3 linked regions of the Sus scrofa genome follow. The protein of the gene in region 3 interacts with the protein of the main gene of each other region in a pairwise test. Links are inferred from orthologs where the notes say so. Each region holds a gene or a part of one and is shown on either strand. Other genes may lie near its edges. The genes, in order: PPP1R18, WTAP and VPS52.

Region 1 (10,303 bases), about 6.4 Mb from region 3:
AAACCCAAAAAATTGGAGAGGAGGGAACAGTTACACAGAGAGGTTTCCCTCAAATGCTTTGATTTTCATTGATGTAGTCAATTCAGGACAACTTCCTGAGGCAGCAGGATGGAGAGAGTGAATCAGAAGGGAAAACAGGGTATCTGGTACAGTATACAGTAGCGTTGATTCAGAGGAGAGTGGGAGGGAGGAGAATGAAGTTAGTCTGTGGGATGCTCTCCAGCAATTTCATCATCCCTGAGCCCACAGGACTAGCAGCTTTTTTTTTTTTTTTTTTGTCTTTTTAGGGCCACACCCATGGCATATGGAGGTTCCCAGGCTAGGGGTCTAATCGGAGCTACAGCTGCTGGCCTACACCAGAGCTCGCAGCAACGCCAGATCCTTAACTCACTGAGCAAGGCCAGGGGTCAAACCCACATCCTCATTGATACTAGTCGGGTTCATAACCCACTGAGCCACCATGGGAACTCCCTGGAGTTTGATTTTTATTTTTTATTTTATTTTATTTTTTGTCTTTTCTAAGGCTGCTCCCACGGCATATGGAAGTTCCCAGGCTAGGGGTCTAATCAGAGCTGTAGTTGCCGGCCTACACCAAAGCCACGGCAACATGGGATCCGAGCCATGTCTTTGACCTACACCACAGCTCACGGCAACGCCGGATTCTTAACCCACTGAGCAAGGCCAGGGATCGAACCTGCAACCCCATGGTTCCTAGTCGTATTTGTTAACCACTGAGCCATGACGGGAACTCCTGGAGTTTGATTTTTCGATGTAAATGGTAGTCTGTAGGAATTACAAACAGGAGTATAGGAAAAACTTAACAAAATATCTTTGAGGTTTCTGACTTGTGGAGTCAAATTAATGAGGTTGAAGGCTAAAGTCATAGGTAGTTAATTATCACAGCTTGGATGAAATTAACCTACAAGGTTTACAACTGTAATAAAATTTTCTATCAAATACTTTAACATTGTTACTCTCATAGTTACAAAGCAATAGCCTTTGGCATTATTAGAACAAATCTTTCAGTGGTACAGACAACTTCTCTGCCTTTAGCAAACAGAGAGGAACAACTCAACAGTAAGTTATAGAATAAGCATTAATTTGTGGTAAAATAGTAACTCTTTCATCCAGCAAGATATAATAGGTGATTCAGAGCTGTGGGTTCTCAGCCTGGGTCAACAGTCTTCTGTTCTCTCACCTTTCATTATTAAAGTGTTAACTGAGGCTTTGTGACCTCTCACTCTGGCTATTTTCTATCAAAGCTATTGAAGGAAAGGGGGTTCATAATGCTCTGTTTCTGCAAGAATCCTTCAAAAGAGGAATTGACTTCATTTTAGATGCGAAAACTAGCCGAGCTGTGGAATCAAGCCACGTGAGTGACTGCACAGCCCTTGCCCTTTTCACCTCTCACTTGGGATTCTAACATTCCCTTCTGTGACGCGGAGATCGCAGGCTCCCGGGGATCCATCCTGCAGCCTGGTGGTGGAGAACCGCGCGCGCGCCTGCCGGAAGCCCGGACGCCCGCGCGCAGGAGCCCCGCCCTCCTGGGCGAGGTCCCCGGCGGGAGGCGGGTCCGGGGCGGGGCCTGCAGCCGCGGGAATCCCAAACCCGCCCCTTTCCCCACCTCTGTTTCTCGCCATGGCCCCTGCACTGCTCCTCGTCCCTGCTGCCCTCGCATCTTTCATCCTGGCCTTTGGCACCGGAGTGGAGTTCGTGCGCTTTACCTCCCTTCGGCCACTTCTTGGAGGGATCCCGGAGTCTGGTGGTCCGGGTGAGCGGGAGGGGCCGAGGACGAGCTCTGGGGTAGGGGGGTGGAGCCGGAGCCGAGGGAGCGGGGGCGGGGTTTGGAGACAAATGACAGGGGAAGTCCAGGAGAGGGAACTGGAACCGTGAAAGCCGCCGAGGAGCTGCAGTGGAGACCAAAGGGCTAAATTGGGAACCCAGGGATTAGCGGTTTGGAGAGGCGGGAGAGTGAGGCTGAGGGGGAGGGAAAGGGCGATGAAGAGAGTATTCCAATGAAAGTGCTTCGTAAAGAGGACTAAGGAGAAGAGTGTTATAAAGAGGGAGTATTAGGAGAACTGAAACAAGAAGGGCAGTCCAACAGTGGGTGGCCTCTGCAGCCATGCGTTTCATGACTATCCAACACGAATCCTTTTCCTCTGAAGGAGGTCTGGGGAAGAGGGAAGAAACAGGGAAGAAAAACAGGAAACAAGAGGGAAGAAAAATGAGGTGGGGAGTTCCTCTTGTGGCTCAGTGGATTAGGAACCTGACATAGTATCCGTGAGGGTGCGGGTTGGATCCCTTAGTCAGTGGGTGAAGGCTCTGGTGGTGTAAGCTGCAGCGTGGGTTACAGATCTAGCTCAGATCTGATGTTGCCGTGGCTATGGTGTAGGTCTGCAGTGCAGCTCCAAGGCTACCCCTAGCCCAGGAACTTCCGTATGCCACAGGTATGGCCCTAAAAAGAAAACAAAACAAAAAAGAAAAGTGAGGTGGGCAAAGCCTAGAGAGGAAGCATTAGGCTCTTGAAAACATTAAGGGATGTGGTCCTAAGATGAAATAAGGGTCAGGAGTGTTGCCCACCATCTTCTTGATTTGTGTCCGTTTTTCCAACTCCCGCTAGATGCTCGCCAGGGCTGGCTGGCTGCCCTGCAGGACCAAAGCATCTTGGTCCCTCTGGCTTGGGATCTGGGGCTCCTGCTACTATTTGTGGGGCAGCACAGCCTCATGGCAACTGAGACAGTGAAAGCATGGATGTCCCGGTACTTTGGGGTCCTTCAGAGGTCACTGTACGTGGCATGCACTGCCCTGGCCTTGCAGGTATGGAGCCCTGGCAACTAAGTCCCCAAGGGAAACAGTCTGTGGGAAAGATGCTGTCCATTGGCAAGGCAAGGGCCTTAGGTTTTCTGATAAAATGTGGATTGAGGAGGAGAACTGAAGGTGTTCAGGACTGTAACCTCAGCTTCCATTCCTCCACAGCACAAATCCTACTTTTTATCAAGAAGGATGTACTGCTTGTCATTCCCCGAGCACGATATGTGCATTCTCACCCTTGCAACTTTGTTCCTGTTGTCCTGCTTGAGATACCCTTGTTCGCTCCTCTTCAGTCCCATCCTTTCTTCACAACCACCTCCCTAGGTTTCAAAGAAGGCTTCCCAGTTGCTACTCATCTGTCTTCCCAGTGGGTGCTTGGCATAGGCTACTTTGTGACCCTATCTGGTTACTCACATCCATTCTGTAACTCCTCAGAGTAGAGAGGAGTCATCCTTACATCCTTGGGATCCCACCCAGCCCCCTCCCCTTGGCGAAAATTTTCACAGTGGAGGTGGGAAAGCAGGAGGTCAGCCTGGGGTGGGGGCAGCCTCTGGGTCTAGGTCTTTCAGGAGTGGGCTGCTCGGATACCCACCCCCTCATCCTTCTTCAGCTGGTGATGCGGTACTGGGAGCCTGTACCCAGGGGCCCGGTATTGTGGGAGGCTCAGGCCGAGCCATGGGCCACCTGGGTGCCCCTCCTCTGCTTTGTGCTCCACGTCATTTCCTGGCTCCTCATCTTCAGCATCCTTCTCGTCTTTGACTACGCAGAACTCATGGGCCTCAAACAGGTGAGGCTCCCAGATCCCTCCCTGAGACCTCTGATTCTTTCCAGAACACCTCTTTCCCTTCCAAGGATGTCCCTCCTCCTCCTTCCTCTTGCTTTTGACTCCCTCGCCTCCCTTTCTTGTAAGATAGTCTCCCCCCAAAGGCCAGAAACCATGGCTCTTCTGGACCTGGGGAAAATTCAGGGGCCCAAGTCTCAGAGGGGTGGTTCTTGGATTGAACCTGAGTTATAGAAGGAGGGTGCCTGGAAGGGGAGGAAAGAGGCAGCCAAGTTGTGACAAGGGCTTGAGTCCACTTCTAAGCCGTTCTCCCTCTCCCAGGTGTACTACCACGTGCTGGGGCTGGGTGAGCCCCTGGCCCTGAAGTCTCCCCGAGCTCTGAGACTCTTCTCTCACCTGCGCCACCCCGTGTGCGTGGAGCTGCTGACAGTGCTCTGGGTGGTGCCCACTCTGGGCACTGACCGCCTCCTTCTTGCTCTCCTCCTTACCCTCTACCTGGGCCTGGCTCACGGACTTGACCAGCAAGACCTCCGCTACCTCCGGGCCCAGCTGCAAAGAAAACTCCACCTGCTCTCCCGGCCCCAGGATGGGGAGGCTGAGTGAGAAGCTAACCCTGGTTCCAAGCCCTACACTTCCTCTCCCTCCAATTCCAAACCCCTTCTCATCCAGGACCTGTCTGCTTCAGACCAGAGACCCAAATCCAAGGACTGAAGGACCTGTCCCTTCCCCTGCTTAAGCCTCTCCTTCTTGGGTCCAGCTCTAGACCCTAAATTGAGTTTCAGCTACTGGACGCCAAGGTCCACTTCTCACCAGCCAGGAAGAGGGAGTGGGAAACTTTATCTTTCTCCTCATAGTTTAGGGCTTGACCCTCCGTTTACAACCTCCTTACAAGGAGAAGGGCCTGGCCTGACCAATCCCCTGGCCCTGTTACTCGCCTCTGCGCCTCAGGGATTCTCTTCCCACATCTTGCTCCACCTCCTAGAAGCTGGACCAAGGTCTGCAAGTTTGACAATAGAGGCTGCCCCCCACCCCCCCACCCCAGGCTCCAGGCCTTGCAGCTGCAGGCCAGCCCCACCGCCTGGCCTCTCCAGCTCCATAGGCCCTTGCCCTTGGGCTCTATCCTCGAACTTAGTTGGGCAGATTCTCCCGCTCTTAATTCAGGTGACTAAGTGCTCCCTGCTCTCCCGAGGAACTCGCGCTACAAGAAAATAAAATCCAGCCTGGTTTTTCTACATGTAGCATGCAGTCTGTCCAGTGCCTCTCAAGCTGCAGGGCTGATTCTGGGAAGGACAGGCGAGCCAAGCCCGAGTCAAGGCATCCGCCGCGCCCTCTGGCGACCGCTGGGCGGCGGCCACTCCCAAAGGACCCACCCCTCCTTCAAATCCCCCAATTTCCTCGCTGCAGATTTGGGGGCCCCGGCAGGAGACAGGTTGAAGCTGAAGAGTGGGGACAGCGGCTCGGGTAAGAAAGCGAGCTTCCGAAACCTTTGGCTTCCGAGCACAGCTCCTGCCGATGCCCCACCACCGCCACCACCACGGGCCCCCCGTAGCCCTGCGGCCGCCCCGGCCCCCACACTAACAAAGGCTGGCCGGGGAAAGCAAAAGCGTGGGGAGGAGCGGCAGGAGATGGGAAGGGCGGGCCCCGCTCAGAGCAGCTGCTGCTTCCTCCCCAAGTCCCTCGAGGGGCCTGAGTCACGGGCCGCCGCCCTGGGTCGGCGAGCTGGGGGCGGGGGGTCTGGACACCTGGGTTATCCCGGGTTACCGGGCGGGAGCCGGGTGAGAGGCCCTGGGGACAGACAGCGTAAAGGCCAGGGCTTGCGGCGGGAAAAGAGGTGTCCGGGAGCCCAATCCCACGCGGGGTCGAAGAGGGCGAGGCTCCGCCCCCTAGTCCGGCTCCGCCCCGCGCCCCCTTCGCTCTTCCCCATTGTCCTCAGACAAAGCGGTCGCCGCCCCCCGCCCGGCCCCCAGGTCTCTGTCTCCGTTCCTCCTCCTCCGCTCCCTCTTTCCCTCCTCCTCCCCCTCCCTCCTCCCCTCCCGCCTGTCTCCGGATCTCCCTCGATCCCTCTCTCCTCCTCTTCCTCTCTCCTCCTCTCTCCGGACACCAGGCTCCTCCGCACCCCCGCCCCCGGGAGCCCCGCGGCGAGTGAGTTGACGGAGGGGCTTCAGACTTGGGGAGGGTGTCTCCTCTCTCCCGTCCCTTCTCCCGTCCCCGGCCCGGACCTTGGGCTGTCTCCTCTTTGTGCCGAGATTGCCTGTCTGTGCGGCCAGAGCCGGCTGGGGATGGCCGGCTATGTCGGGGTTCCGTGAGAGCCGATACCGGGCACGGGACTGGCAGGCTCCGGAGGCGTGGAGCTGGTCCTTCGCATGCCTGGGTCCCGGGGCACCGCCGGTGCAGGAGGCAGGCGGTGGTACGGGGACCGGGTGGGGGTGGACGCCAGGGTTCTGGGAATGTGCTGGCAGGTCTGACGCCCGGGTTCCGAAAGTCCCCGGGGGAGGGTATTTCCCCTGACCCGCCTCGGGGCGGAGTGCGGGGCGGGGGGTGGGGGCTGGGGGGCCGGAGAGGCGTGGCCCGAGCGGAGCTGGAAGGGGAGCCCGGACCTCCGGGGCCCGTGCTGAGACTCGCCGGGCTGCAGCCGCGGAGCTCCCTCACCCCTCTGCCCCGATTTCCCCTTCTCCCCAGGACTCGTCCACTCTCCGCCCTCCCACCTTCCCGACACCCGTGCAGATCCCACTGCCCCCTCTCCGGCGGGATTCCCTGACCTCTCCTCCAGCTCTCAGCGCTCCTGGGTAGCGGTGAGGCAACCTTGCCTGGATCCTGTTCCCGTCACCCCCAGCCTCTCTTTTCTCTTCCTCCCTCGCGCCAACTTCTTTCGTTTTTCAGTCTTCTCACATCCTCGGGACTGTCTGATGCCCATTAACCTGTGCTGACAAATCTGACTCCTACCTCTGCCCTGAATCTCCACTCTTCCTCTCAACTCCCTCCCCCCACCCCCTCTACCTGGCTCTTAGTTCCTTCTTCGCGTTCTCAGTGTTCCCCCTTTTCTGCCCTCCCTCTTCTCCCTCTTTCCCTCTGTCCTTCCTCACTCTCAGCTCCTCTGTCCTCTTCCGAGTCCCACCTCTCCCCCCACTTCCTCTCCGCCCACCCCTATTCTCACCCCCTGGGCCTTTCTGGAGCCTCTCCTTCCTGTTCTCTGCCCCCAGCGCTCCCCCACCCTCCCCAAGTCGACCATGGCCACCATCCCGGACTGGAAGCTACAGCTGCTAGCCCGGCGCCGGCAGGAGGAGGCAGCCGTTCGTGGCCGGGAGAAGGCAGAACGGGAACGGCTGTCCCAGATGCCAGCCTGGAAGCGGGGGCTTCTGGAGCGCCGCCGAGCCAAGCTTGGTCTGTCTCCTGGGGAGCCTAGCCCTGCGCCTGGGACTACGGAGGCTGGACCTCCAGACCCAGACAAGTCTGCCGTCCTCCTGGAGGCCATTGGGCCAGTGCACCAGAACCGCTTTATTCGGCAAGAGCGCCAGCAGCAGCAGCAGCAGCGGAGTGAGGAGCTACTTGCGGAAAGACGGCCTGGGCTCTTGGAGGCCCGGGAGTGGAGATCCAGCCCTGGGGAGATGAGGGATCAGAGCCCCAAGGAAAGAGAGTCTAGAGAAGAGCGGCTCAGTCCCAGGGAGGCCAGAGAGAGGAGGCTGGGGATAGGGGGAGCTCGAGAGTCAAGCCCCAGGCCTTTGGAGTCTAGGGACTGGAGGCAGAGCCCAGGAGAGGCTGGAGACCGGAGCTCCAGGCTGTCAGAGGTGCGGAAATGGAGGCTGAGCCCTGGAGAAACTCCGGAGAGGAGTCTAAGACCTGCAGAGCCTCAAGAACAAAGCCCCAGGAGAAAAGAGGTGGTGGAAAGTAGACTGAGCCCGGCGGTCTCTGACCACGAGAAGCTGGGCCTGACAGACGCCCATAAACGGAGGCCTGACTCCGGAGAGTCTCAGGAACAGAGTCTGGTGCTGGAGGCATCAGAGTGGAGGCTGAGCTCAGGAGAAGAAAGAAAAGACTGCTTGGAGGAATGTGGGAGGAAAGAAGAGAGGACACTTCCAGGGATGGTCCCAGAAGACATTACAGGGTCGCCAGAGACCCTGACAATGGAGGCTGCAGGCAGCAGCTCTGGAGGAGTGGAGGCAGCAGACCAGAGGCCCATCCCTGTGGAGGATGGCGAGAGGGACTTGCGGCTGTCAGAAGGGTGGAAATGGACCCTGAACTCTGGGAAGGTTCGAGATCGGACACCTAGGGACACAGAGACTCAGAGTCAGAAACCGGAGTCTGCAGAGAAGCACTTGGGGCCTCTTGGTGCGGAAGCTGGAGAAGGGGAGGCGGAGAAGGAGGAGGCAGGGGCTCAGGGCAGGCCTCTGAGCGCCCTGCAGAACCGCTGCTCAGTGCCCTCCCCCCTCCCACCAGAGGACGCTGGGACTGGAGGCTCTAGACAGCAGGAAGAGGAAGCAGGGGAACTTCGGCCCCCACCAGCAGCCCCTCTGTCTCCCCCACCCCCAGCCCCACCTGCCCCCCAGCCCCCTGGGGATCCCCTCATGAGCCGGCTGTTCTATGGGGTGAAGGCGGGGCCAGGGGTGGGGGCCCCCCGCCGCAGCGGACACACCTTCACAGTCAACCCCCGACGGTCCGCGCCCCCTGCAGCTGCTGCCACTCCAGCCACCCCAGCCACAGCTGACGCTGCAGTCCCCGGAGCTGGAAAGAAGCGGTACCCGACTGCCGAGGAGATCTTGGTTCTGGGGGGCTACCTCCGCCTCAGCCGCAGCTGCCTTGCCAAGGGGTCCCCTGAAAGGCACCACAAACAGGTAGGGAGCAGCCGAGCCAGACTTCTAGAAGCCCACTGGTCCGTTCTCTGTGGACTCCTGTCTTTCTGTCTTTTTTTTATACCCCGGTCTTCTGTCTGTTCTTTCTTAATTCGTGCCACCACCCTTCCTCTCTGTACACACACCCTTCCGTCTTGTAGTCCTTCTTTTCCATTCATTTCCCAGCCCCAGGATCCAGCCTGTGTCCTGGGTGTGTCTCTCTCAGGGTGTGCTCCAGCTGCTCGCTCTCCCTTCCCTCGGGCTCTGAGCACCCCCCACCCCCCATTCTTTCCATTCCTGAGTCTCTGACCCAATCCAGCCCATCTGGTGGGAGACTTGAACCGAGACCACAGCCCGGCACCTGTGAGGGCAGGCTCCACAGGGCAAAAGCACTGCCAGCCTCCCAGGGGAGAGAGTGTTGGGGTAGGAAGCCTGGGGAGGCCGAGGGGGTGGCTTTGGGGTTCTAGGGAGAAATGGCAGTGGGGAGTAAGTGGAAAAAGGTCTCACGATGCAAGGCAGAGGGATGCAAGGCAGAGTGGAGGGGAGATGTCCTTCGGGGGGAGGGGAGGGGAACAGCACTGGCCAAAGAGCAGAGAGAAGGCTTTTGAACCCCACGTCTGCCCCATGGGAGAGACACACACAGAGGCCATTTGAAGTGGGTGACCTCGAGGTTGCACACCCCCAGCTGGGCCACAGCTTCAGACAGTGCTCCCTTCTCTCTTGGGACAAGAAAAGCCTTCTCCTCTTCCAAAATCCCCCCCCACCCCTCCCTGGCTGTCCTTCCTCCCCGGGCTTCCCCTCCCTCCCCAGAACGGGCTCAGTGCTTGGTTTTCCCCTTTATTCTTCCTTCCTGGCCTCTCCCTTCTCTTGGGATCGGAAGAAAGAAGTGAGTTTGGAGCCACTGTGCAGGGAGTACAATGGGAGTTGGGGATGGGGGTGAGGGCTGAGGACGGCAGAAAAGGTCAGAGGTTAAACTGGAAGAAAGGCCCTGCAGGGAAGCTGGGAACAGCCAGACTGACTTCTTCTTCCCCAACTCCTTCCCCATCTACCCGTTTCCGGCTTGAAAATCTCCAAGGAAAGAGATTTGCTGCATCTAACACATCTCCCCAGAGACTGGGGAGCCCTTCCTGGTCCTGATCCCATGTGTGACATCCTCAGACTTGTTTTTCGTGTCCTCAGTATCAGTGGGAAAGCACAGGGACCAATGCTTGGGGGACACGTGAGACCTCGATTCATCTTCACACAATGCTTAGGGTCCCAGCCCCGAGCTGAGCCATGGTCCCTGAGTCTGTCCTGAGCTCTCTGACTTGCAGATGCCAGGAAGTGGGTCAGGAACAGCTGGGCTGACTTGTTCCAAGAAGTCCCTTTCTACTGTAGGGGTTGGCTTGTGCCCCCTGGGGAGGAACGAAGACACGAAGGCATGAAATTTGGGGCCCAAAGCCCAGGGAATGCTCGAGTGCCTGGCAGGACCCGCGAGGGTGACCGTACCTAGGTCAGGGAGCAGGGGAGACGGAAGCAGGTCGCCCAAACAGGAAGCCTGGGTGGGGGCCGGAAGGCTGGTGGGGCTGAATGGTGAACGCAGGGCCATGGGCCTGCCAGAGCTGTGCTCAGGATGTGGTGAGAGAAGAAGGAAGCGGCCACTCAGGGGGTGGGGGTGGGGAAGAAGCAGTGCAGAGTTCTCTGGGCCCAGATACCTTCCCCTCAACCCTCCCTCAGGCCTTCACCACGCTGCCAGCACCCTGTTCATCAGGGATGGGCATGCCCTGTCCCCACCCAAGGGATCAGGGCCACAGCATCCCCCCCACTTCCCTAAATAACTCCCATTTGCAGGCTAATTCCATCAGATGTATCCCTGCCACTGGGAGAGAAATCCCTGCCCTGCCAC
Region 2 (10,203 bases), on a different chromosome or scaffold from region 3:
AACTGCATCAGTTCCCTCACACCCAGGGTAAATCTTGTTCAAGATCCTGCTCCACACTAAACCTCCAACAGGACTTAAAATTAACACTTCCTAGGCAGCTGTAATTTATTTTCAAATTTATTATTATTTTTAATTATTTTATTTTTACTATAAATTAAGTAAAAGATACAAATACACTAAGTGGATTAGGAATATATTCAACTACTATTTCACTGAGCACATGGGAACTAATTATTTTTTCTTCTAACTTAAGGAGATTTTTTTTTTTGTCTTTTTGCCATTTCTTGGGCCGCTCCCGTGGCATATGGAGGTTCCTATGCCAGAGCCACAGCAACGCAGGATCCTTAACCCACTGAGCAAGGCCAGGGATTGAACCCGCAACCTCATGGTTCCTAGTCGGATTCGTTAACCACTGAGCCACGACAGGAACTCCTTAAGGAGATTTTTTAAAACAACTCATTTTAAGCCAAAAACTACAACTATTTTATTCAATATAAAGCCAACTGTTAAGGTAATTTGACAGGAACAAATCATGTCAGGTAACAAACACCATGACTGCCGTCACTGAAGAAAACACCGTCTCTCTGCCACTGACGTCGTCGTCACATCTATGTGTACAGGTTGGCAAAGCAAACTGCCCTCATGTGCTACACATAAACTTGCCATTTCCTTGTATTTTTGTGCCTGCTGCCCTTTCTACAAAACCTCACTCTGCATCCCACTGAAAAGAACAGTGGCCTGTGCAGAGGAGAGCTGTTAAAAAAATGTGGCTGAAGAAAGTTAGGTTCTAGTTGGGAAAAAACCGTAAAATCTAGGTTAGGAAGGGGTGATGGGACATCACCAAAGGCTTTGATGATGCCTAATATGATCACAACTGCCTGCGCAGTTACTGAGGTGAATCAACAGCAGGTGCTAAGAAGAACCTGGGCTAGGATGGCAAGAGCAGGACTCCAAAGACAGAAAGAAATCAAGACCCACTGAGGTTGAGACAGTACCATCAGCACCATCCATTCACACTCTGTCCCAGGTGCTAGCACTCTGAAGGTAAAAGTCATCCTTTGATGTGTAGGCATCTAGCATAGTGCCAGGTCAACAGGAAAACCTAAAACTATTAAACGAATAAATGGTAGAATCTAGGATCCTAAGTATCGCAGTAAGAATTAAATGGTTTTGAGACCGAGCACTTGAGAAGTAAGTAGTACTCATGCCATTAGATGTGAAAATCCTGAAAGAAAAAAAACTGGAGGGGAGGGGTGGTGTGGGTGTCATAGACAGGGAAAAACAAAACACATCCTTATATTCAAAATCTTGGTGACACTTTTTGGAACCAAGTACCCAGGTTAAAAAAAAAAGCCAAAAGTAGGAATGGTCAATAGCTAAAGTTAGGCTAAGTGAAGGTATAAGAGTACTTAGAGAGATTTCTTTGCAGCACTATTCACAATAGCCAGAACATGGAAACAACCCAAATGTCCATCAACAGATGACTGGATTCGGAAGAGGTGGTATATATACACAATGGAATACTACTCAGCCATAAAAAAGAATGACATAATGCCATTTGCAGCAACATGGATGGAACTAGAGAATCTCATCCTGAGTGAAATGAGCCAGAAAGACAAAGACAAATACCATATGATATCACTTATAACTGGAATCTAATATCCAGCACAAATGAACATCTCCTCAGAAAAGAAAATCATGGACTTGGAGAAGAGACTTGTGGCTGCCTGATGGGAGGGGGAGGGAGCTTGGGCTTATCAGACACAACTTAGAATAGATTTACAAGGAGATCCTGCTGAATAGCATTGAGAACTTTGTCTAGATACTCATATTGCAACAGAACAAAGGGTGGGGAAAAAAATGTAATTGTAATGTATACTTGTAAGGATAACTTGATCCCCTTGCTGTACAGTGGGAAAATAATAAAAAATAAATAAATAAATGAAAGAGAAATTTCTTAATACACTCATTAGTGACGCCACAGAAGAAAAATCTGTGTCAGTGAAGCTGAAATCTAAGCTGGTAGAAACAAAAGGAATGCTGAGGGGGTAGAGAAAATAACAAAGGCTACTCTTCTTTAGCAAAGTAACAGATAAGTTGTTTTGAAAAAGTGAAGGAAGAGGGACTAAAGACTCTGGTGGAAATATGGACAATCTCTGCACAGGAAGTTTAAGAATTATGACTGACCCCTAAAGAATATTTATTGATGAAAGAAGAGACAGAAATAGAACTGCCTGCCCTGAAGATTCGAGAAAATTTCAGCTTTTAAGATTATAAACAATGGGGATAGAACTGTCTCTATTTTATGTAACTTACATATACAAACAGTAAAAAAAGAGTTAAGACTGTCAAAGAGAGCATAAAACAATCTAAATTTACAATCAGAGCTAAGTGATCAATCAAGTATGTTGCTAGATTTCAGATCTACACAGGCATGGCAAATAAAGTATAAATGAAAGATGTAAAAATTAAAAAGGAGACATGGTAGAAGTCGCCGACGCTAAGAAAAAATCTTGGGAGTCCAAGCTGTTTTTTTCAGCATTAAGGAACCTGACTAGTATTCATGAGGACACAGGTTTGATCCCTGGCCGTGCTCACTGGGTTATCGATCTAGTGTTGCCGTGAGCTGTGGTAGAGGTTGCAGACATGGCTCGGATTGTGTTGCTGTGGCTGTGGTGTAGGCTGGCAGCTGCAGCTCTGACTGGACCCCTGGCCTGGGAACTTCCATATGCCACAGGTGTGGTCCTACAACGGCGGGAAAAAAAGAGAAAAGTAGTTTTATGCAAAAAGGGGTAAAGTTAGCAGAGGATGACCTAATCAGATGGCTATCTTAGTAAAGAGTAAATGTTCCTTATACTCTTAGATATCCGGTTACTTAAAGAGATCTGAACCATTATACTAATTCTCATAAATCATGGAGATTGCAGAGAATAACCTGAAACTTTCATATCCTTGGCCACAAAAAATTATTTTAAAACCAATAATGAGGGGTTATCTATCAAAATTTTACATTTGGTATATTTAAGCCCAAAGCAGTTTAGTACTTATTAGTTAATACCTGTAGCAATGCGAACCCAAACCCAGTTACTCTGAAGACTTTAAGCCTCTGAAATACTCACAGTACACTCTTGCATCTCTTGCTCCTTGGTTGCTAGGCGCATTACAAGGATGTTTTCCCTGCGTGCAGATTCTTGCTGTTGTTGCTTTAGTTTTTCTTCAGACTCCCTTAAGCCAGTTACATCATTAGCTAATGATTAAAAGGAAAAAAAAAAAAAAATCCCAAAACATTATGAAATACAGTTTCAAGATCAAACTGAACTAATCAAATGAAAATTCTTATTGCCTTTGTCAAGGATAATGAAAACCACTGTAAAAGATCAAAGTCTTTGGTTTCTATCTGAATTACTTTTATTTAAAAAGGGCCACACCTACACATACGAAGTTTCTAGGCGAGGGGCTGAATCGGAAGCTGCAGCTGCCGGAAACAGCCACAGCCACCTAAACCACAGCCCACAGAAATGCCAGACCCTTAATCCACTGAGAAGAGCCAGGGATTCAACCCACATCCTCATGGTTACTAGTCCAATTCACTTCTGCCGTTCCACAACAGGAACTCCCCAAATTACTTTTATAACGAGAAAATTTGTTCCTGCTCAGGAGTGCTCTTTTGGTAGTGTTTACGGTGGTCCACAACCGCCTAATGCTAGAGACGGAATTATGTTGGTACAGTCTAATCTGTTCCCAACAAACACAGGAAACTTCACGACTTGCATTTTTAAATCCTGTACAATATTCACCAAGTTCTGATTAATACTGTTTTCAACTCACTCAATGTAAAGATGTCCACTGACTGCATGGACATTCCTCTTCTAAGCTTTTATAACATTCACCACTTAGATGGATTACAACATACTTACATAATAATGGAAATTTTAGGACATTAAGCTTTCTCAACTTGGAAAACCGTACTGGTTTTTATATTCACAGAGTATGTTACTCCAACTCAGTGAAAAGTGACAAAAAACCTCAAATGGTCTCAAGATAAATTCTTGTATTATTTTTAGGTTTTGAAAACTCCATAAATACACAGCTATATCATATTGTTACAAATCGAGCCATCATGAATTTAATACCAGTTGCTTCTACACTCCTCCCTTTCAGAGCAGTAATTCACGCTCCACTTCAAGTTCCTCTACGGAAGGGAGGAAGGGATGGATCAAGGGACGTTTCAAGTGGTTGTACATTTCTCTATCTGTGCTCTCTCAGAACCCGGGGGTTCAGTTGAGTCCCACTGTTGTGAGATTACTGCCTGTCAGTCTTCTCCAGTGACTCAAGAAGAGATCATGTCTCACTGACCTTCCTATCTGCCCACCTCCAACAAAGTGTATGGACATAGTCCCTTAGTAAATGCTTGAAGAAGCATCAGCAAAACTTTGCTCAGTAAAACCAATTATCCTGTGCTTATAACAACTATCTAAAAGAAAACTGTCACATGTCTTTAGGAAGCTCAACTCAAACTTACAGTTAAGATCTGTGTACTTGCCCTCCAAAGCTTGCACGTATGCTTCGTATTGTTTCCACCTGGTACAAAAATAAAATAAATCCATGTTAGTTACCATGTTGAAATTTTAGGGTCCCTTCCATTTTGAGATAATTATGAATCCAGTTTAACCCATAATAAATCAGTCACTTCAAAACCATTCCTTCTCAACTTACAGGAGTTAGGAAAACGGAAACAGAGAGAAGAGTGCTTTCTGTGGAGAGTATACACCAAGAGGTGCTCCCCTGGGTCAGATCAGACACCATATGGGACTTTGTCTCACTGATGTTTAGCATGATGCCTGGATTACAGAAGATGAATGAAAGACTTTCTTTCAGATGTGCTGTCTGCCTCAAACAAAATGTGCCTAATTCTAAGGGAATGAAGGTTATCTTGCCTCTTTTGTGAAAACACCACGTGACTCTCTCAAGGTAGAAAAAGAGAACACACATTTTTTAAAAGTCTAAACAAGGGCCTATTCTATAGCACAGGAAACTATATTCAATATCCTATAATGAACTATAGCTGAAAAGAAAAGAAAAAAAAAAAATTCAAGGGAAAATAAACCCCAAACATATCTAATTGGCAGAAACAACTTGCATAAATGCCATACACTCTAAGAGTGGAAAATGATTTTTTTTGTTATATTCCTCTACCCTCAAAATATAGGCCATATTACCTGCTCTTGACAATTACTGCAGATGACAAACTTTCTCCAGTCTTATGTTTAAGCAACTGCTTCTGGAGAGTAACCTGTCTGCTACCTTGCTTACTGAAAAGCTACTTTTCAAGCTGCTCTTCAGTTACAGCTAATCAAAATTTACTTTGACTTCAGGAAATAGTTCTACAATCTTAAAACCTCTGACAAGTTTGCTATGAGACATATTAATACATACAGCAAAACTATTCTGTAATATCAAACTAATCCTTCTATATAAAAACTAGGCCAAGGGCATTCTTATTTTTATGGCCTCTACAACCTAGGACACAAACAGGAGTTCATTCAATGTTTACAGATGAATTAAGGTGTTCTAAGGAGGTTAGGTAAGAATTACTTATTTTATTGGACTAGAGAAATATAAAAATTCAACTAAACTATCCTTATCAAGGAGACCGAGGGAGGGGGGCAGCAATTAAATAGGTAACAGTTAATTTAAAATCACCAAGAGAATTAATAAGGAAAAAACTGCAGTCAAATGAGAAGTACCTAAAGAAAGAAGTCAAAATGACAAGAACACAAATTGTAGTTCCCACTGTGGCTCAGCGCATAATAAATCCAACTAGAATCCATGAGGATACGGGTTTGATCCCTGGTCTCACTCAGTGGGTAAAGGACCTGGTGTTGCTGTGGCTGTGCTGTAGGCCGACAGCTACAGCTATGATTTGACCCCCAGCCTTGGAGCTTCCATATGCCGCAGGTGCAGCCCTAAAAAGAACAAACAAACAAACAAAAAAATTGTATGTAATTTTAAAACCTTACAGGTAACTTAAAAAACTGCTATTTGATTTTTAAATTGAGATCATAGCACTGCTTTCATCCCCTACAGTTAAATCAAGAAAAGAGACTGCACATACTAGCCAGAGGAATTATTTGAGAATAAGAAATGGTAAGAGTATTTTAAAATACTATTTACATTTTATGTGTGGGAAAATTAAGACATCATCAGTAGAAAAACAATCCTGGAGTTCCTGTCGTGGCTCAGTGGTTAACGAATCCAACTAAGAACCATGAGGTTTCGGGTTCGATCCCTGGCTTCGCTCAGCAGGTCAAGGAGCTGGCATTGCCGTGAGCTGTGGTGCAGGTCGCAAATGCGGCTCAGATCTGGCGTGGTTGTGGCTCTGGCATAGGCCGGCAGCTACAGCTCCAATTAGACCCCTAGCCTGGGAACCTCCATATGCCACGAGTGAAAAAAAGAAAAAAAGACCGAAAAACAAAACAAATGATCCTGTGAGTGAAATTATGGCAAAGGAAGATAAAAAAGCTTGTGTCTGCAATAGAGGAGCTAAGTGGTGGTGGTGGTGGGGGCAGACTCCAGGAAACAATGGAGCACGTCATTTGTGTTTCCTTATCTCACAAACCACTTTTCTCTCCTCTATTTCCAGTCTGCTAAATCCACTCAGTTTTTCAAGCAAAAATTCCTTAAAATTTCTAGAGGAGGAAGTTAAATGACCTTGCAAAGGCTGCCAATGAAAAACATTAATTTTATTTCAATCTAAAAGTGATCCCAAGAGTTCCCGTTGTGGCCCAACGGAAATGAATCCAACTAGGAACCATGAAGTTGCGGGTTCAATCCCTGGCCCTGCTCAGTAGGTTAATCTGGCGTTGCCATGAGCTGTGGTGAAGGTTGCAGACGTAGCTCAGATCTGGTGTTGCTGTGGCTGTGGTATAGGCCAGCAGCTACAGCTCTGATTAAACCCCTAGCCTGGGAACCTCCATATGCTGAGGGTGGGGCCCTAAAAAAAAAACAACAAAAAAAGTGATCTCGTAAAAAATTTACCATAGTGATAAAACGCAGAAAGAATATATTTAAGTTATAAAACACAAAACATGTGCGATCCCATTTTCTGATTTAAAATAAAAAAATGAGTAATTGACAATCTGCTTTAATAAGACATTTATAAGACAACCACACAGATTCAGAGCTGAAAGTAATCTTTAAAAGGAATTTAAGGGAGTTCCCGTCGTGGCGCAGTGGTTAACGAATCCGACTAGGAACCATGAGGTTGTGGGTTCGGTCCCTGCCCTTGCTCAGTGGGTTAAGGATCTGGCGTTGCTGTGAGCTGTGGTGTAGGTTCCAGACATGGCTCGGATCCCGCGTTGCTGTGGCTCTGGCGTAGGCCGGTGGCTGCAGCTCCGATTCAACCCCTAGCCTGGGAACCTCCATATGCCGCAGGAGCGGCCCAAGAAATAGCAACAACGACAACAACAACAACAAAAAGACAAAAGACAATAAATAAATAAATAAATAAATAAAAGCAATTTAAAATAAAAGTAATTTAGGAGTTCCCGTCGTGGCGCAGTGGTTAACGAATCCGACTAGGAACCATGAGGTTGCGGGTTCGGTCCCTGCCCTTGCTCAGTGGGTTAACGATCCGGCGTTGCCGAGAGCTGTGGTGTAGGTTGCAGACGCGGCTCGGATCCTGCGTTGCTGTGGCTCTGGCGTAGGCCGGTGGCTACAGCTCCGATTCAACCCCTAGCCTGGGAACCTCCATATGCCACAGGAGCAGCCCTAGGAAAGCCCCCCCCCCCAAAAAAGGATAAAATGTTACTTTCCTCAGTGTTTATATAATGAAGAAACAGGCCATAGGAAAAAGGTCTGAAGAGTATATTGAATGATTGAGGATATATTAACATTAGAATCAACACATGGTATAAACATTATAGTAGAGAATCATCATAGGAGAGAATCACAATGTAACGTTCTATAGGAAGATTTTATATTTTTGATAAAGAACAATTTACCTTAGAATCAATTCGTCTCGTGCCATAACTTTGAAGTCTGTCTCACTCAGTCGAACCTAAAAAGTTAAGAAATGAAGTAAATGCTCATTTTAAAAGTTTTAAATATTAAATACCACTGGCACTTACATCATTCATATTTTTATGAAGACAGGACTACAACTCTTAATCCCTCAACTGCTGGTTTCTGTGACTACAAATCCCCTTTTTACTGAAGACGTACAAAGCCCCTCTCAAAAAAAACTCTGTGTTGAAATGGTTCAGTATGTTTTATGATTTAAAAAAAAAAAATCTTATCTTTCGGAAAGAAGTTTTTAAAAGGTGGACTACTTGTTATCTTTAATATAGGCATCACTAAGGAAATGCAAATTAAAACTCAATGAGCTGGGAGTTCCAGTCATGGCACAACGGAAACGAATCTGACTAGGAACCATGAGGTTGCGGGTTTGATCCCTGGCCTCGCTCAGTGGGTTAAGGATCTGGCATTGCCGTGAGCTGTGGTGTAGGTTGCAGACGCGGCTCAGATCCCACAGTGCTGTGGCTGTGGAGGAGACTGGCAGCTGTAGCTCTGATTTGACCAATAGCCTGGGAACCTCCATGTGACACAGGTATGGCCCTAAAAAGCAAAACAAAACAAAACAAAAAACAAAAAAACCCCAATGAGCTATCATTACACTCCTCTAAATAAGAAACAGCAGTGGAATTCCCTGGTGGTGGTGCCATGGGTTAAGGATCCAGTGTTGTCACTGCTGTGGCTTGGGTTGCAGCTGTGGCATGTGGTTCAAATCCTGGCACGGAAAATTTCCACATGTCACAAGGAGGCAAAAAACAAACAAACAAACAAACAAAAAACAAACAAACCCCAAACCCAACCAAACAAAAAATAGTGGTAACCTCAATGTTGAGTGAAGATGCAGAGAAACTAAGCTTTTTCATACACTGCTGGTAAGAAAAATGGTAGAGCTTCTGGTGGTTCTTTTTAAAACTAAAAATGGAAGTTCTTGTGTGGCACAATGGGTTAAGGATCTGGCGGGGTCACCGCTATGCACAGGTTTGATCCCTGGCCTGGGAACTTTCACGTGGACGGGCGCAGCCAAAAAAGAAAAAACAAAACTAAAAATGGACATGCCACACAATCCTACGATTGTATACTTAAGCACATATTCCAGAGAAATACTTATTTTCACACAGAGACTTGTTCACAAAATGGCTCAGAGCAGCTTTATCTGTAAGAGCTCAAAACTGGAAACTACAATCCATGAATGGTAAACCATGATACATCCACGCCATGAAATATTATTCAGCAACAAAAATAAACAGAATGTAACAACCTGGCTTAAGCTCAAGGGAATTTTGCTGTGTTGGGGAAAAAAGAAAAAGAAAAAAAAAGAAAAAAAAAAAAAAAAAAACCCACCTCAAAGCATACTCAAAACAGCACAATTTCAGGTATATGACATTTGTCAAAACAACATAATTATAGAAATGAAGAACTAATTAGTGGTTGCCAGGGATTGAAGAATGGAGTAGGAGATGGATGCGGCTACAAAACAGTGGCACAAGGGAGGCTTGTGCAAGAGTTCGGGTCACGGTGGTGTTTACATTAAGTTACAAGTGATAAAACTGCACAGGGCCACACATCACACAGAATGCATGTGTAACTGGTGACACCTGAATAAGCTCTGTGGATCGTACCAAAGTCAAGCTCCTGGTTTTGATATTGTTATGCAAGATGTCTACACTGAAGGAGACATTTCTTTGCAACTTCATATATATCAGTAATTAGTTCAAAATAAAGTTTTTTAAAATGGGCATGATATTCTGGTAAGCTGATAAAAATTAAAACATTTTCCCTTTATAAAAAAGTTTCAAATAGTAACATAATACTATCAGAAAATAGAAGAGGAAAAACCATTATACCAGACTCTATTAAAATTCTAGACTCTAACAGACAGCACCCAGCAATTCTCAAATATTAAAGCACTTGACTTCAAAACTTAAGCCAGGAATTTTTTTTAGAACATTTACTATCTAAATTGTTCACTTAAATATTCACTAGGTAAGGGTAAGCACATACCCTTGCTTTCCCAATCAAATTATAATAGTTCCTTAGAAACTGTTCCTTCTTTTGTCACCTCTTTTGTGTATGTGTCACAGTGACTAAAGTGAATTAAGACAGGAATATAAGACAGGAAAAATTAGACTA
Region 3 (10,203 bases):
GCTGGGGCTGGGACAGCACACGGTGGAAGCGGTGGTAGAGCTGGATCAGCTGGGTTAGTGCTCCCTGCTTGGAGAAAACCACCAAGGGATGAGGTATGGGGTGGTACCAGGGTGACGATTAGGATCATGTCAGGGCACAGGACTTGGGGTCCAGATGGAATGAAAATCAAGGGTCACTTGTATGATTCTGAGCCCAGAGAAAGGGGTGGGGGAGTTCCATGGTGGCTCAGTGGGTTAAGGAGCCAGCATTGTCACTGCTATGGCTCAGGTTCCATCCCTGGCCTGGGAACTTTGGCACGCCACGGGCGCAGCCAAAAAAGAAAAGCGGGGGGAAATCAGTGGTGGGTGGGTGGGACTGGGGACTGCAGGTCACCTGGATGATGCTGGTTCCATTCCTGAAGTTGGTGAAGCTCCGCATGACATCCTGGCTCAGGGACTCCACAGACGACTTCCAGGAACTGCCAAAGCCCCGGATCAGCTGAGTAACGCGGGCTGGTCGTGGGGGGAGAGGTAATAGCCATGTGATGTTTGATCCCTCTAGGCTCTCCACCAGGCACCGCCATCCTCACCATGCAACCCCTTTTCACCAACCCACCCTTCCCTGCTCTACCACTGCCCCCCCACCCCCCGCAATGTGATCTGCATCCTCAAATTTCTTCTTTCCTGGGAGTTCCCTTTGTGGCACAGGGGAAACAAATCCAACTAGGAACCATGAGCTTGTGGGTTTGATCCCTGGCCTCGCTCAGTGGGTTAAGGATCCGGTGTTGCCGTGAGCTGTGGTGTAGGTCACAGACGGGGCTCGGATCTGGTGTTGCTGTGGCCGTGGTGTAGGTTGGCAGCTGTAGCTCCAATTAGACCCCTAGCCTGGGAACCTCCATATGCTGAGAGTTCGGCCCTAAAAAGCAAATAAAATAATTCAAAAAAATTTAAATTTCTTCTTTCCCGTTCACCTCTCACTGACCCCACCCACCCTTCTTACCTTCTTCCCCTCGGAGTCGTTCGGCTTGCCCACGCTCAATCAGGGCCTCAGCTTCCTTCACAAATGCCACCAGACCCCCAAAAGGGGGAGATAGCAGCTCTTCGATGAATTCCTGTAGAGACACACACACACACAGTCGAGTTTCCTGATGTCTGCAGGTCCTCCCAGGTCTGGCGTCATGACCACCTGGGTCCTTAGAACACTCCTGTAACAGCACAGCTCATCTCTAGAAAGGTCTCCCAGAGCTAAGGGAAATCTCCAAGGACTACCCTCCTCAAAATAATTAATTCATTAAATGGTTTACAAAATGGAGCTGGGAGCAGAGGGCTGGAACCAGGGAAGTGGGCAACTGGGAGAGGCAGGGCTGCCAGAGGTAAGTGGCCATGGCCACCTGCTACCCAGAAGCTGAGCGGGATGCCAGCCTTGAGTGGGAAGCTGAGCTGCCTCTCTCACGAGAGCCTCTAACAGGTGGCAGTGTAGACCCAGGGGGAGGGCATTTTTCAGTGACTGTAAAAGGAGATGCCAACCTTCTCTGAAAAACCCTCAGTCCCAGCGCAGGGCCCTGGGACTCCCCCGATTAAGGTCAAGGAGAGGAGTCAAAGACCAGCAGTCGTAAGAAAGAGACTACCAGGAAAATTAGCACAGACAGTACACCCAAGAGCGCCCAAGACAGCCAACGTTACACTGCCACATACACAGCAGCTGGGCCTTCTGTATGAAATGTTCAAAGAAATTAAAGATACAGACACACACATGATCAATTCACAAGATTAGGAATGGACAGCTTTGAAACAATGGAATTTTAAAGAAATGATTTAAAAGTAACACTTTTTCTGGGAGTCCCTGTCATGGCGCAGTGGTTAACAAACCCAGCTAGGAACCATGAGGTTGCAGGTTCGACCCCTGGCCTTGCTCATTGGGTTAAGGATCCAGCATTGCCATGAGCTGTGGTGTAGGTTGCAGACGCGGCTTGGATCCTGCATTGCTGTGGCTCTGGTGTAGGCTGGCGGCTATAGCTCCGATTAGACCCCTAGCCTGGGAACCTCCATATGCCTTGGGAAGCGGCCCTAGAAAGGGCAAAAGACCAAAAAAAAAAAAAAAAAAAAAGGTAACACTTTCTTTGGTCACACCAGCAGCATGTAGAAGTTCTCAGGCCAGGAATGGAACCTGGGCCATAGCAGCAACCTGAGCTGCAGCACGACAATGCCAGGTCCTTAACCCAGTGTGCCACCAGGGAACTCTGCATCATATTTCAATTGGACAGCACCAGTCTAGACTTGGATGAACTTTAAGCTCTCAATCCAGCAAAAGAGAAGTTCTGGCAGCAGAGGAATGGAAAGAAGGAAGGGGTGCCCTGGGCTTTGGCTAGCAATCTGTCCCATGACACCGAGCAGCAGCCCCCAAAAAGGCCAGGGAGCGCTGGTGACAGCTGGCTCCCCACCATAGCAAATGCCTCAGTGCCTCAGCTGCTCCCAGCAGGGTCCACTGGTTGTGGGGTCAGAGGGCAAGGGAACTGCACTTCTGAGGAAGAACTGATATTCCCTCTGTCCCCTAACTGTGCAGGTAAGGACAACAGCTTCCTTTCTCAGCCATGATACATGTTTATGTTACTAAACAGAGAATGGAATGGGAATGTTTAACCTACAACTAACCAGATCCCTGGACAGAAAAAAGACTGGAGGAATGTAAGGTTAAAAAAGATACTGGTTCGGAGTTCCCGTCGTGGCTCAGTGGTTAACGAATCCGACTGGTAACCATGAGGATGCGGGTTCGATCCCTGGCCTTGCTCAGTGGGTTAAGGATCCAGCATTGCCATGAGCTGTGGTGTAGGCTGCAGACTCGGCTCGGATCACATGTTGCTGTGGCTGTGGTGTAGGCCAGCAGCTGTAGCTCTGATTCGACCCCTAGCCTGGGAACCTCCATATGCCTGGGTGCGGCCCTAAAAAGACAAAAGACAAAAAAAAAAAAAAAAAAAAAAAAAAAAGATACTAGTTCTATAGGCTGGCAGCTGTAGCTCTGATTCAACCCCTAGCCTGGGAACCTCATATTCAGTAGATGCAGCCCTAAAAATCAGACACACACACATACAAATACTGGTTCCGGGACTGTGGCGCAGTGGTTAAAGAATCTGACTAGGAACCATCAGGTTGCGGGTTTGATCCCTGGCCTTGCTCCGTGGGCTAAGGATCTGGCATTGCCGTGAGCTGTGGTATAGGCTGCAGATGGCGGCTTGGATCCCATGTTGCTGGGGCTCTGGCGTAGGCCAGCAGCTACAGCTCCTATTGGATACCTAGCCTGGGAACCTCCATATGCCGCGGGAGTGGCCCAAGAAATGGTAAAAAGACAAAAAAATAATAATACTGGTTCTGGGGGAGGGGCAAAAGAGGGGTAAGGTTAAGGGACTAAGAAAGCCAAACTATTATGCATAAAATAAATAAGAAACTAGGGAGTTCCCCGTCATGGCTCAGTGGTAAATGAACCTGACTAATATCCATGAGGACATGGGTTCAATCCCTGGCCTCGCTGAGTGGGTTAAGGATCTGGTGTTGCCATGAGCTATGGTGTAGTTTGCAGGTGTGGCTCAGATCCTGCATTGCTGTGGCTGTGGTGTAGGCCAGCAGCTACAGCTCAAATTCAGTCCCCAGCCTGGGAACCTCCATATGCCACAGGTGCAGCCCTAAAAAGACAAAAAAAAAAAAAAAAAAAAAAAAAAAAAGTAAGAAAATAAATAAACTAGAATACTCCCTCGCACCATACACAAACATAAACTCAAAATGACTTAAAGACTTAAACATAAGATACTATAAAGATACTATAAAATTCCTAGAAGAGAACATAGGCAAAACATTCTCTGACATCAACCATACACATGTCTTCTTAGGTCAGTCACCCAAGGCAATAGAAATAAAAACAAAAATAGGCCAATGGGACCTAATCAAACTCACAAGCTTCACATAGCAAAGGAAACCATAAAAAAAAGACAACCTACGGAACGGGAGAAAAGAGTTGTAAACGATGCAACTGACAAAGGCTTCATCTCCAAAATATACAAACAACTCATACAACAGCAAAAAAAAAAAAAAAATCCACAATCGAAAAAGGGGCAGAAAACCTGAACAGACAATTCTCCAAAGAAGACATACAGGAGTTCCCATTGTGGCACAGCAGAAACAACTCCAACTAGGAATCATGAGGTTGCGGGTTCGGATCCCTGGCCTTGCTCAGTGGGTTAAGGATCCGGTGTTGCTGTGAGCTGTGGCATAGGTCACAGACAGCTCGGACCCCGAATTGCTGTGGCTGTGGCATAGGCCAGCAGCTGTAGCTCCGATTAGACCCCTAGCCTGGGAACCCCCATATGCCGCAGGTGCAGCCCTACAAAAGACAGAAATGGCCAAAAGGCACGTGAAAAAATGCTCAACATCACTAATTATTAGAGAAATGCTAATCAAAACTACAATGTACCACCTCACACCGGTGAGAATGGCTACCATTAATAAGTCTACAAATAACAAATGCTGGAGAAGATGTGGAGAAAAGGGAACCTTCCTACACTGTCAGTGGGAATGTACCTTGGTACAGCCACTATGGAAAACAGTATGGAGGTAGCTTAGAAAACTAAATATAGAACTACCATATGACCCAGCAATCCCACTCCTGGGCATATATCCAAACAAAAACTCACTGAAAAAGATACTGCATCCCTATGTTCACTGCAGCACTAGTAACAAGAGCCAAGACATGGAAACAACCTAAATGTCCAACAACAGGTGAATGGATTAAGAAGACGTGGTACATATACACAATGGAATACTACTTGGCCATAAAAAAGAACAAAATAATGCCATTTGCAGCAACTTGGATAGAACTAGAGACTCTCATGCTAAGTGAAGTAAGTCAGAAAGAGAAAGACAAACACCATATGATATCACTTATGTGTGGAATCTAAAATATGGCACAAATGAACCTATCTACAAAACAGAAACAGACTCTCAGACATGGAGAACGGAATTGTGGTTGCCAAGGAGGAGGGGCAGGGAGTGGGATGGACTGGGAGTCTGGGGTTAGTAGATGCAAACTATTACACTTAGAATGGATAAGCAATGAAGTCCTGCTGTACAGCACGGGGAACTATAGCCAATCACTAGGGACAGGACATGATGGAGTGTGAGAAAAGGAACGTATCTATACATGTTTGGGTCACTTTGCTGTACAGCAGAAATTAGCATATCATTGTAAATCACCATACTTTAAAAAATAAGCAAGGTAGAAGGATATACTGGAAAACACAGAATAAAGTAAATATTTTATAAGAACCATAAATGGCACATAACCTTTTTTTTTTTTCTTTTTAGGGCCACTCCAGGTGTTGCTGTGATTTAGGAACCCACAACATATGGAAGTTTCCAGGCTAGGGGTCAAATCAGAGCTGCAGCTGCTGGCCTATACAACCCACAGCAACGCCAGATTCCTGACCCCCTGAGCGAGGCCAAGGATCGAACCTGCATCCTCATGGACACTAGTCAGGTGTGTTTCCACTGCACCACAACAGAAACTCCTGGCACATAACCTTTTAAAATTGTGACTCCCTGTGTTGTAGACCTGTAATTTACATGAGATTGTACTTCAAAAATATCTCCATTTTATTTTGTTTTAATTTTTGTCTTTTTGCCTTTTCTAGGGCCGCCTACGGAGGTTCCCAGGCTAAGGGTCTAATTGGAGCTATAGCCACTGGCCTATGCCAGAGCCACAGCAACGTGGGATCCGAGCCGCATCTGCAACCTACACCACAGCTCACAGCAATGCCGGATCCTTAACCCACTGAGCAAGGCCAGGGATCGAACCCGCAACCTCATGATTACCAGTCGGATTCATTAACCACTGAGCCACGACGGGAACTCCTTTATTTATTTATTTTATTATTATTTTTTTTTTTGCTATTTTAGGGCCACACCTGTGGCATATGGAGGTTCCCAGGCTAGGGGTCAAATCGGAGCTGTAGCTGCCAGCCTACACCACAGCCACAGCAACCCAGGAACTGAGCTGCATCTGCGACCTACACCACAGCTCATGGCAATGCCAGATCCTTAACCCACTGAGAGAGCGAGGTCAGGGATCGAACTCTAACGGATCCTAGTCAGGTTTATTGACTGCTGAGCCACAAAGGGAACTCCAATATCTCCATTTTAAAAGTAAATAAAATTTAGGAGTTTCCATGGTGACTCAGAGGTAATGAACCCAACTAGTATCCAGGAAGACATGTTTTGATCCCCGGCCTCACTCAGTGGGTTAAGGATCCAGTGTTGCCATGACCTATAATGTACGTCACAGACACAGCTCAGATCTGGAGTTGCTGTGGCTGCGGTGTAGGCCGGCAGCTGTAGCTCCAATTCATCGCCTAGCCTGCAAACTTCTATATGCCGCAGGTGCGGCCCTTTAAAGCAAATAAAAATTAAAATAAATTTAAAAAAAACACAAAAATAAAATAGACCAGTAATGACAGCCTGGTCTGAACCAAGTGTTACAAAGCATTACAATTCCAGTTCTGTGTACCTGGAGTCCACTAATTGCCACTCCACACCCACACTCTGAACAAAAACAAATACGGCACACAGGTCCTCCTTCCCTTCCCCACACCCCTACCTGTGTCCGAGCATTGAGCAGCTGCTGGAAACTTTCAACCTCTTTGCTGTCATCAGCAGCCCTCTCCTAAGAGGAGACAGAGCAAAACCTAAGGTTGTGGAGAAGCCGCATTTCAAGTCTGCGAGCCCCTCCCTCCCACGTTGGCCAGACGCCGTGCCAGGTGCCGAGAATCAAACACTGAACGAGGTCAGCAGGGTCTTGGCTCTCACGGAGCTGAGAGAGCGGTGGGGGGCCCGAAGGGAGCCAGAGGGGCCCTTACCATCAGCACGCCCAGCATCATGTCATAGTTGTTGATCAGAAACACAAGCTGCTCCTTCCTTGAGGAGAACTCGGCTGCTACTCGGAGGACAAAATTCTCCACCTCCACCTGAAAAAGTGGCAGGAGGCGGTGACTCGGAAGGCAGGGGCCTTCTGCAACCCAGCCACTGCCCTGCCCCTGCCCTCACCTGTAGCTGACCCAGCAGCTGCATCGTCCGCTCATTGGGAATCGTCTGATTGATGCTGACGAGGGCAGAGGAGAACTCTGCATATCGGCGTGTGATCTGGGAGGCAGAAGGCAGGAGAAAAAAATCCTACCTGTGCCCTGGCCCAACCAACAAGCCCCTGGAAGCCCTTGAAGCTGGTCAAGCAGCCTCTGGGTGACTCCCGTCTCGGATCCCTCCCCACCACCGTGTGTGTCCCATTCCAACCCAGTCTAATCATACTCCTCGCTGCTTCTCACCCAGTGAAGCTGCATATGCTGCACCATGACCATGACCCTGGGCAACCCCATGGCCAAGCGTGGAGCCCTGCTTCCCAAACCAGTTACCCTCGCCCCCCCTCACATAGTGAGGCCGAGTGTCCAGCCCCCCGAGGCGCTGGGGGTCAGTGCTCCGGACGCTCTGGACGTTCATCTCCAGGATCAGCTCAAACCGCGGCCACAGCAAGGCAAGCACCTGTTCCCAGTACCTGTGGGCTTCGCCAGAATCAGAGATAGCAGCAAGGAGCACAGGGGTGGGGAGGTGGGGTTGGGGTGTGTGCGGGCACCCTGACCGGCACAGGGGCAGGAGGGTGTGAAAGCTGGGTCTGGAAGCAAGAGCACTGCTTCCCAGCAGACACACAGGGACAGGGCCAATGGGATGAGGCCACTAGGAGCCCAAGGGTCAGGGCAGGTGTGTAGGAGACCAAGAGCTCAAGGCTGGTGGGGGGGGGCGTCGAGAACCAGAATTCAGCACCTGTCCAGGGCGGGGACATCCCTCTTTGCTGCAATGTTTCGGAACCGGAGAACAATATGGATACAGAGAAAAACCGCTATGGCATCGTAGCAGTCGGCCAGGTAAGACTCCAGGTGCTTCTGTGATTTAGGAACAGGAAGGGGATTGGAGGATTGTGTTTGGGACTCTGTCATTCAAGTGGCTACAGACAAATGCACGGGCTCCTCTGGGGATGTGGGGGGGGGGACGATCTAAAAGGAAAATGCTCCCTCCTTCCCTGCCCACCGATCCTCTGCCTTGCTCACCAGATCTGTGGTCACAGGCCCATCACAGCACAATTCAGGGCTGAACACCAAGGTTTAAGGGCCCCTGAGTTTTCAGGTGCTATTGCCTGGTGTGGGTCTGCGGCAGGGGTGTTCTGGGAGACCCCAAGCTGTGGTGGTTCCATGGGGAGTCACACAGCTTTAGAAAGAGGGCATCTGGTTGCAGTCTGTCCAGAGCCCTGACCTCAGTGATGAGTAAGGAGGACCTGGAGGGCAGAGAGCAGGGGAGCCAGGGCACTTACCAGCGTCATGCTGAGGGTGCGGCCCATGACAGCGTGGAAGAGGTCGTGTGCAGCCGGGCCAGACACCACGAAGAACTCGCAGATGAAAAGATATTCTCGGCAGGAGTTGTCCAGGAGGGCATAGTGCTGGCTGCGGAAGAGTGCCTCAAAAGGGTACTAGAAAAAAAATTAAATTAAATTTTAAAAAAATAAAATAAAAAAAAAAAAAGGAGTTCCCGTCGTGGCACAGTGGTTAATGAATCCGACTAGGAACCATGAGGTTGCGGGTTCGATCCCTGCCCTCGCTCAGTGGGTTGGCGATCCGGCGTTGCCGTGAGCTGTGCAGGTTGCAGACTCGGCTCGGATCCCGCGTGGCTGTGGCTCTGGTGTAGGCTGGTGGCTACAGCTCCGATTAGACCCCTAGCCTGGGAATCTCCATATGCCGCGGGAGCGGCCCAAGAAATAGCAAAAAAGACAAAAAAAAAAAAAAAAAAGGGTACTAGGAGGGGAGGGAAAAAGAGGGGAGAGAGAAGGGTTGACGTGGCTGAAAGACCAGGAAAGCTGGGCAAGGAGAGCACAGGAGGCACTCCCCTCTAACCCGAGTCCAGGCTTCGAGAGGGCATCCTGAATGGGGACTGAAGAGGTGGGGGCACAGGAGGAGAGCACCCCCCACCCCCCGCCTGCCGCTGCTGCTGCTCCTGCCCCCACCCCCAGGCCTGCCTCCTGACCCGGTGACTGGCCGGGGGATTCACTCAGGGGTCTGCCTCCTCCTCCTCCTACCCTCTGTTCTCCCCGCTGCGCTGTGTGCGGCACAAGGATGGGGGCTTCCAGTTCAGTGGGCGAGATGACGGAGCCACGGGTCCCCAGGGTGAAAATGGTGTTCCTGCTGCGGAGGGACGGCTTTGAGAAGAAGCGTGCAGGGTCACAATCAAGGAATACAGTACTGTCACTGCAGTGATGGAAGATCAAAGCCTTGGGAACTCCATTGGGCCCTGGCAGCCAGACAGCCTCAGCATCCCCCAGGACCAGGGCCCCACTTCAACGGATGTCTGCAAATGGGCCCCAGGGAGCCTCTCCACCCCTGACATGACATGCAAAACAACACATCAAAGTGATTTGCGCATTTTCTTGAGGGAGAAAGTCATAGCTTTTATCACGCTCCCAGAGGTGAGCAGCAGAGCCCCAGAGGCTGGACCCAGAAGCCCCGCCCGCCCCAGGCCCAGCAGGAGCGGTCCTCAGCTGCAGGATATCTTTCTTTGCTGTGTCCTCCACGCCCATCAGATCATCCTTCTCAGCGACTTCCTCATACTAAAGAAAAGAGAAAGGAGCCCTGGTACCCAACCCTTTCCAGAGTGCAACAAGAAAGGGCTCTCGGCTCTGAGCCAGGGCAGGGGCCGCCTTTCTCCTGGCCTCACCTGCACCTTCATGAGCCGCCCCAGGTAGGAGCGGTAGTAAGACAGGTACATCTTGCTCAGCGTCTCCACGTATTCGTCCCTGACCTCCTTGGCCGTGGCCCGCTCATTGCCCAGCAGGAACTGATAGAAGAACCTGGAGTGGCAGGGACGGGTCAGCCCCGTCACCTGCACCACCAGACACCACGCGTGCTGCGCAAAAGCTGGGAGTCCCCCCCTCCCCCCAAGACGGTCTTTCGTTCAGGTGGCCACCTGTACTTCAGTAGGGCCGTTTGGGGGATCTGATAGTTGGTCATTGGTTTCCTGAAGGAATAGATCTTCTGAAGGATGAACTCTCGGATCTTTGTTACCGCCTGGACACGGAGGACCAAACACAGGGTGTGAGGCTGCAACCTTCTCACTGTTTGGGAGGCACTGAGGGATGTAATGAATGCT

The links.
Region 1: the proteins of VPS52 (region 3) and PPP1R18 interact in binary tests that used the Homo sapiens proteins (3 or more experiments, as listed by UniProt). The two-hybrid records come from large-scale screens. The link is inferred for Sus scrofa from reciprocal best matches to the Homo sapiens genes VPS52 and PPP1R18.
Region 2: the proteins of VPS52 (region 3) and WTAP interact in binary tests that used the Homo sapiens proteins (3 or more experiments, as listed by UniProt). The two-hybrid records come from large-scale screens. The link is inferred for Sus scrofa from reciprocal best matches to the Homo sapiens genes VPS52 and WTAP.

The regions. Positions count from the first base shown.
Region 1 is NC_010449.5:23,216,832-23,227,134, reverse strand, and holds the start of PPP1R18 (phostensin), read left to right. Parts: upstream 1-4,839; 5' UTR 4,840-5,053; intron 5,054-5,672; exon of another isoform or gene 5,673-5,734; intron 5,735-5,750; exon of another isoform or gene 5,751-5,999; intron 6,000-6,271; exon of another isoform or gene 6,272-6,792; 5' UTR 6,793-6,819; coding exon 6,820-8,421; intron 8,422-10,303. Other genes in the region: NRM (nurim), read left to right, coding at 1,639-1,771, 2,621-2,817, 3,422-3,598, 3,914-4,195.
Region 2 is NC_010443.5:7,632,067-7,642,269, forward strand, and holds part of WTAP (pre-mRNA-splicing regulator WTAP), read right to left. Parts: intron 8,060-10,203; coding exon 8,004-8,059; intron 4,582-8,003; coding exon 4,523-4,581; intron 3,248-4,522; coding exon 3,120-3,247; intron 1-3,119. UniProt on the Homo sapiens protein: Associated component of the WMM complex, a complex that mediates N6-methyladenosine (m6A) methylation of RNAs, a modification that plays a role in the efficiency of mRNA splicing and RNA processing.
Region 3 is NC_010449.5:29,624,868-29,635,070, forward strand, and holds part of VPS52 (vacuolar protein sorting-associated protein 52 homolog), read right to left. Parts: intron 10,122-10,203; coding exon 10,021-10,121; intron 9,905-10,020; coding exon 9,772-9,904; intron 9,665-9,771; coding exon 9,607-9,664; intron 9,271-9,606; coding exon 9,137-9,270; intron 8,534-9,136; coding exon 8,378-8,533; intron 7,953-8,377; coding exon 7,834-7,952; intron 7,568-7,833; coding exon 7,444-7,567; intron 7,162-7,443; coding exon 7,066-7,161; intron 6,987-7,065; coding exon 6,879-6,986; intron 6,686-6,878; coding exon 6,620-6,685; intron 1,092-6,619; coding exon 980-1,091; intron 493-979; coding exon 374-492; intron 65-373; coding exon 1-64. UniProt on the Homo sapiens protein: Acts as a component of the GARP complex that is involved in retrograde transport from early and late endosomes to the trans-Golgi network (TGN).